2 linked regions of the Diceros bicornis minor genome follow. The protein of the gene in region 2 interacts with the protein of the main gene of each other region in a biochemical or structural test. Links are inferred from orthologs where the notes say so. Each region holds a gene or a part of one and is shown on either strand. Other genes may lie near its edges.

What was found. The genes of interacting proteins can lie anywhere in the genome.
Region 1: of the proteins of ATM (region 2) and CHEK1, one has a biochemical effect on the other in vitro, tested with the Homo sapiens proteins (2 studies listed by BioGRID, with this or other methods). The link is inferred for Diceros bicornis minor from reciprocal best matches to the Homo sapiens genes ATM and CHEK1.

Annotation. Positions count from the first base shown.
Region 1 is NC_080746.1:10,471,356-10,475,103, reverse strand, and holds the start of CHEK1 (serine/threonine-protein kinase Chk1), read left to right. Parts: upstream 1-1,460; 5' UTR 1,461-1,480; coding exon 1,481-1,545; intron 1,546-2,373; coding exon 2,374-2,597; intron 2,598-3,748. UniProt on the Homo sapiens protein: Serine/threonine-protein kinase which is required for checkpoint-mediated cell cycle arrest and activation of DNA repair in response to the presence of DNA damage or unreplicated DNA.
Region 2 is NC_080746.1:27,549,917-27,553,664, reverse strand, and holds the start of ATM (serine-protein kinase ATM), read left to right. Parts: upstream 1-1,072; 5' UTR 1,073-1,254; intron 1,255-1,654; 5' UTR 1,655-1,835; intron 1,836-2,604; 5' UTR 2,605-2,649; intron 2,650-3,748. Other genes in the region: protein NPAT, read right to left, coding at 665-701.

The DNA of each region.
Region 1 (3,748 bases), about 17 Mb from region 2:
TCTTCATCCGGGCGCGTTCCCACCCTCATTCCTCTGTGGCCAGTCTTTTTTGATGCTTCTGGCTCCCACCACAAAGTTCCTTTCACTCTTCAAAAGATCAATTACAACAGCAGCTCTTAGCTTCTCCGCTCTCGTTTTTTCTGTAGCGCACTTTAAAGTTACATAGAGAGGCAACAGTCATTGCATGTGATCCTCACAATCCTGCCAGCAGCCGGGCGAGGTGCTCGGAGCTCCCGAGCTGGTCGGTGTAGGCACGTATCCCGCCCGCCCGCCAGGTCCAGAACACAGGGGGCGCGAACGCGAGGACCGCGCCGCCCGCTGTGTCAAGGCACATCTCCGGAGGGGCTTCGGCTCCGCCCAGGAGCGTGAGGGCCGCCTGGCCGAGGTCCCACACCGGAGACCACTTCGCGTCTGGGCCCAGAGATCATGCGCACTGATGCGGCGGGCAGTTCTTAAATCTCTTCAGCCAGGACCTTGCCTCGACTCCAAAGTAACCCAAGGCCCGGCCTGCTTAAACCTGGGGGTAACCTCCCGGCGCCCGCCACCTGAAGCGGCCACTCTTACGGCAGCGGTCACGGGAACGCGCGCTTTCCTGCTTTACGGCAAGGGTGCGCACGTTTGCGACCGTGTGACGCGAGCAAGTTTTGGCGGGAAAAGCGCCGTATTTGGATTCCTGTGGTGGCAGGCAAAGGACGAGGGTGAGGAGAGGCGGTCGGTAGGGTGGGTAACCAGTTTGGAGAAGGAGTTCGGGGTCCACATTAGTTAGGAGGGGCACGGCGAGAGAATGTTACCGGGGACAGGCGAAGGGGATCGGAGAGACTCCCACGGAGGGCGGTTTCGGAGGGTGGAGGAGTACTGGGGGTCCCCATTGTAGAGGGACTGGAGAGACCAACTCTCTGCTGGCTGAGAACCCCAGGGGTTTGGGCCCCGGCCGTCCGTCTGCCACCCAGCCCTTCCGCTTCTTGGGGCAGTTTGGCCCCGCCCCGGCTCCTCCCGGCCTTTGGGACGGGGTGAGAGTGGGTATTGGGACTGAGCAAGTGGAGAGGAGGGGCTGCAGGGGTCGTAGTTATTATTTCCGCCCCCATGAGGCCGCATCCTCTTACTCTCCCACCCAAACCCCACCTCTTTCACCCTCTTCCCCAGTCATCCACCGTAAAGCATTTGTACCCCAGCTCCTCAACAGAACTATTAAATTTCTTCTGAGGCCTGAGGAAGGCGGAGTTTCAGCCGTCGGGTTGCGTGGGAATGCGGATTGTGATTAACACAACAAAGTGCCAGAATTTAGAATACATACTTGCTTGTGGTTAAAAGACTTGGATAAAATGTGGATGAGGTGTAAGGGGAAACCAAGAGCTATTATTTATATTGAGGAATCATGGCAAGAGCCAGAGCTCAGTGGCTTTACAGATAATTGAGGCTTCTTCTCATCCCCATCATTTCTGGGTTCCTACCTTTTGCAGCCGTGGTTCGTAGTGGAGTCATGGCAGTGCCCTTTGTGGAAGACTGGGACTTGGTGCAAACCCTGGGAGAAGGTGCCTATGGAGAGTGAGTTTGAGTCCGCTTACCCTGCCTTCACGCTTGTTTAGTTTTCTCTCTGTTGTCTTGTTTGAGTACATACATATTCATTGTTTTGGAGTTGTTTATTCTAATACAGTGGTGCCTTAGCGAACAGATCTTTGCATTTGAAATCCAAGACTTTTGGGAACTGAAGCTGCACAATCTTTTGTAAGAATTAATTTTTTTCTTGCTTTTTTCCAACAGTGTTTGTAAAGAGCTGGAAGAGACTTCTAAAGTCAGTTTCTCTTCCCACATATCCCTTCCTGGGGTTTAAGCATAGTGGTTAAGTGAGCAAATGAACAGACACTGGAGTCAGACTGGTTTCGAACCCTCACTCTGTCACATACTGGTCATTGTTTTGTTTTCTTGGGCAAGCTTCTTAATGCGGTTGTGTGCCTCTGTTTCCTCAGCTGTGAGATGGCAATAGTAGTACCTACCGCATAGATGCTTAGAACAGTTAACACAGGTGTATGTAGTGTCGGATTGATATATGTTAGGTAATGTTATTAAAATTAAATGAATAGTGTATGCATATATGTGATGTGGCATACAATTGCTGTTATCCCATTTTAATTTATTTTATCAAGCGTTTATTAAATGACTTTTGGATGTATAGCATAATGACTTCCTTGGGACATTAACTATCATACCTTACATGTCAGAAAGGAGTAGTATCTGTTGAGAACATGGCAGAAACTGTTTCCTTGGTTTCTCCTTTGTAGAGAAAGTAATAAAGGTAAAATAGTTGGATGAGTCATGTTTAATCTTTTGAAGTTTTAAAAGAAAGAATTCAAATGTCTTCCTTTTCCTTTTTAGAGTTCAACTTGCTGTGAATAGAAGAACTGAAGAAGCAGTTGCAGTGAAGATAGTAGACATGAAGCGTGCCATAGACTGTCCAGAAAATATTAAGAAAGAGATCTGTATCAATAAAATGTTAAATCATGAGAATGTAGTGAAATTCTATGGTCACAGGAGAGAAGGCAATATCCAGTATCTATTTCTGGAGTACTGCAGTGGGGGAGAACTTTTTGATAGAATAGGTATGGAAAAGATTTAAGATACTTATTCTACTAAACGAATTTCTAAATTTGGTTTTGAATCTTGGGTCTGCTATTTGATCATTGTCCAATTGCTTATGCAATAATGAAATTGGAGTAAATTTTCTTGTTTTAGCAACTTATGTTAACACATGAAAGCATATATAGAGTCATCAAAGAAAACTTTTTTTCCCAAGTTGTATATGTGATTTTGGTTGAGATTGCTGTTTTGTAGAGTTTAAGAATGATAAACTAATCTCATGGTGAAGTATTATAATTGCAATCTATTGTTTGCCTAGACAGTTTTTTTCTTTGTAGACATTCTAGTTACATAAAATCATTGCATACATTTACAGATACAAAATAATAAATAATAGCATGTTGTTATATTTCTTCTTTATTTATTTAAATGAAATAATTGAGAATGTTCTAGGATTGCTTTATATATATTAAGTAATGTCTGTGTTTGCCACCTAAATATTCTATGTAGATTCAAAGGCTTTATATTACAGAACACTGAGGAATACATAAATTATATTCTGTGAATCTAAATTGATTATTTAAAGCTATTGTATTAACAGTTAAAAACTGATTATTAGAATCTCCAATATGTATCTCAGGAGAGAGTTGAGTGTAGAAAAAATCAAGAGTTAATGAGGGAGGCCGGCCCCGTGGCTTGGCAGTTAAGTGTGTGCGCTCTGCTGCTGGCGGCCCAGGTTCGGATCCTGGGCGCGCACCGATGCGCCACTTCTCTGGCCATGCTGGGGCTGCGTCCCACATGTAGCAGCTACAGGAATGTGCAGCTATGACATACAACTATCTACTGGGACTTTGGGGGAAAAAAATAATAAAAAATAAAACGTTTAAAAAAAAGTTAATGAGGGAGATCAAAGTACAAAAAGATAACTGACAATAGAACATTTCTTAATAAAACTGTATTTCCTGAAGGAACTTCACAGACATTCACAGCTTTGTAGTAGTGAGAGAGTATATGAAATTTAAATCTTTTGTTAATTATTTAGTGAAATTAGCTTAGATTTGCCCAGGCTTACACTTTGGCAATTACATTTCAGAGGTAGGAGAAATATTGTTATAGCATTTAGAAGAAATTAGAGGAGAATTTGAAGGATACCATATAGATCATGGTTAGTGTA
Region 2 (3,748 bases):
CCCTCCTCAAATGTAGGAAAAACTAACTAGGACTAGAAAACGTTCAAATGGAAGGCATTTCCTCAGTGAAATTTCTTGCTAACCAAAAGAATAAGAATGGCTGCTGTTTTAAAATACGCAACTGGCATTTCAAACCTCTACACTGGACGACTAATGGCGGGGGGAGGAGGATGGAGAGGGAAGGGCACCCCGCTTCGTCCCAAATTGGTTGTTCTAAGGGCGAGTTATGAGAAGGGCGTCAGGAAGGTCTTTCTACAAAGCTGGGTGGCTGCGGAAGTCCTTATTTTTCCTAATTTGGTCCCAGCTCTGACAAGGGAAAGTGCGCCCACGGTGCAAAAATACGCAGTCCGTCCGTCACGTAGACAACCCTCCTGCAGGGGTCCCAATTAAGTGTGCAGGCCTGACTTTCCCTCGGAATCCGGGCCTCAGGTGTTCTCTTCCCTCGCCACGCAGCCTCCGAGGAGAGACTATCCCCCCCACCTCCCCACAAAGAGGCTCAAACTGCCCGAGCCCCCTGCTAAAGGAGAATCACCGCCAGTCTGAACTTGTCGGCGGGGAGGCAAAACCCCGAAGCTTCCCCACCCAGGGAAAACCTTTGGCCCCAAAGGTCCCTTCGTCCTGCTTATCCTGGCCCAATATCCCTCCCTTCCGCGTCCGCGCTTACCCAATACGAGCCGGGCTACGTCTGAAGGTAGCAACATGATCGAAGCCGCAGAAGGAACCACAGTAAGAGACAAGACTCAGGTAAAAGGCAACACAGCGACAGCTCCTGCGCCGCATCTCCCGGTTCCAGTGGCGGCACTGAACCCGCGGCAAAGTGTCCCGCCTCTTTCGCTCCACGCCAGCCAATCACTTCCGCACGACAAAGAAAGGCGCCGAAATGAAACCCGCCTCCGTTCGCCTTGGGACTGACGTCATTTCCGTCCTCATATTTGGAGGGGTGGGGCTGAAGGGGGCGAGGAGGTGGGGCGCAAGCGCAGAAGCAGGAGCCAGAGGGCGAGCCCCAAACGCAAGGTCGCTCGCCATTGGTGGGCAAGGCGCAGGCGCGTTTCCTTAGACGAGCCGAATGTTTTGGGGCAGCGAGTGTTTGGAGCGGACTGGCGCGTGATGCTTGGCGCGCATGGGCAGACGCGCCGCATGGTCTGCCTTACTTCTTGCTCCCGAGTCGGAAGCTGCGCGGTCAAGCCAGGTTTGAACCGGAAGCGGGAATAGTGCGTGGACGCCTGGATCGAGCTGCTGTTGCCGCGGGGGACGGTGAGTGGGGCGGGGATTTAGGCTGCAGCCACCGCCGCCCCCAGAGATTACAATTTGGCCACCAGAGACCAGCGATAGGGGCGCGAAAGCCACGCAGTGGCTTCTGCGTGGGGGAATTCAATCGTATCCGAGCCGTTCTGCCCTAGTCCCCAGTCACCCAATCTCATGCGCTCCTCCAGAGCGGCCCTTTACTCCTCTCCAAACCACGTCTTTGCCGGCCTCCTGTCCTCATCGCTTTCTCCCGCCCTCTCTCCGAGCCCTTAGCGGACTTGGCCATGAACCTTCTTCTAAATGCCCTGAATTGAACCCCCCCTGCGCGTCCCCTTTCCCTGTCACTTTAGAGTCCAGATTTAACTAGATGACGTGACTAATCATCCTTTTTTCTCTCTCTCATAATTAGTAGTTTTAATCAGCGAGCATTTGTTGAGGCTTAAACTACCGTCGCGTGGTTAAGAGCGTGGGCTCTGGAAACACACTGCTGGAGTTCGAAAGGTGACTGTCTGTTATGTGACCTCGCCGTACGGATGTGATAGCCTTGCGTGTGGTCAGAAGTCAGGAGCGTTCGCTGCTGTTTTTACCAGGTACAGATAAGTAAAAAGACTGTTACAACTCAGGGTGATAATGTGATGGAAGAGTACTGTGATGGTAGAGGAGTGAATGAGGTTCTGTGGAAATTGAGCCTGGAAGAATCAATTTAGTTCGCAGTGGGCCCTCGCAGTGTTAAATTGCTCTGGAGGATGGTAGGAGCCTTCTAGACAAGGGAAAATGCATGTAAAGGCACAAAGTGTAGAAGGTTCCTGAAGCTCAAGAGTGAGGTTTGGCATTGAATAAAATAGATTTGGGTATTTTCAACATGTTGAAGTCATAGGAATGGATGAGATCACACTGGGAGAACATAGAGTGAGAAGTAAGGAGACAAGGATGTTCTTTCAGGTGTGGGTGGAAGAAAAACCATCAAAAGAGACTCATGAAACCATCAGAAAAGGGGGCCGCCCCGTGGCTTAGCAGTTAAGTGCGCGCGCTCCGCTACTGGCGCCCCGGGTTCGGACCCCTGGCGCGCAGGGTCGCACTGCTTCTCCGGCCATGCTGAGGCCGCGTTCCACATACAGCAACTAGAAGGATGTGCAACTATGACATACCACTATCTACTGGGGCTTTGGGGGAAAAAAGGAGGAGGATTGGCAATGGGTGTTAGCTCAGAGCCGGTCTTCCTCAGCAAAAATGGAGGAGGATTAGCATGGATGTTAGCTCAGGGCTGATCTTCCTCACAGAAAAAAAAAAAACAAACCATCAGAAAGGGAGGGAATAATGATAATTGCTAACATTTATTGAGCATTTGCTGTGTTCCAGGCACTGTGTTAAACATGTACATGAATCCATAGATAACTCTTTGAGGTAGATTCTAGTGTTGTTTTTCATCATTGAGAAAACTGAGGTTTAAAAAGATTAACTAACTTGCCCAAAGTTATACAGCTTGTAAGTGGCAGGGCCAGGATTTGAACCAGTACAATCTGGCTACAGAGCCCACACTCTTACCACTAGTAAAGAGTGGCATGCCAAGGGCAGAATTATATCCAGGAAGATGGGATGTAGGCATCCTGGTCAGATTCTACAAAGGGATCGACTTAGTTGAAATCTAAAAAAGAACATTGAATTTGTCAATTCAGAAGCTGTTACTTAGCAAATATGTATTGTTTCAGTTGCATGTTGGCAGTGGAACCTAGTTAGTTCTGGATTCATGTATTAATTGAATTCAGCTTTATCTGGTGACACTTACTCTAGCTGACTACTCTCTAGTTCTTTGGTCTTCTCTCAGTTCCTCCAATATACCATGCACTTTTCCATCTTAGGACCCTCTGGCTATGCTATTCTACTTCCGTAAAATGTTGGTCCTCTAGCTCTTTCTGTAATTGGCACCAGTTCATTCAGATCTTGGCTTTATTGTAACCTCCTCTGAGATGTGTTCTCAGTTTATCAAAAGTGGTCCTCTCCGTTGTTATTATATATTTGTTTCCTTTGAGTCATATATCACAATTTGGAGTTATACATTGATTTATCACTATACTTGCTTATTGTCACTCTCCCTCACTAGTTATGACTCCACGAGGTTAGGATTTGTGTCTATTTAGTTCATTATATGTTTAGCTATCCCTAACATAGTACCTCAAACACAGTAGTTGCCTAGTAAATATTGTTGCATGTATCAGTGAATGAATATCTCCTGTTTATATAGATAATACTGAACTGTTGTGTTTTCTTGAAAGCAATCAATGTTTGAGAAATGGAAGGAGGAAAAAACAAGTTCAGAAAAGCCACAGCTTAAAAAAAAAAAAGTTTAAGGCTGCCTCTTCCTGCAAGTATCACATGCTCAGTAAACATGCATTTTTTCGCATTACAAATAACGTCTTTAGTATATTTAGGAATAAAGATGCCTGCTTTTATGGTGCTTTGGATATTGCTAAGGTGTTTTCATTGGCTAGAATTCCAATTTTAT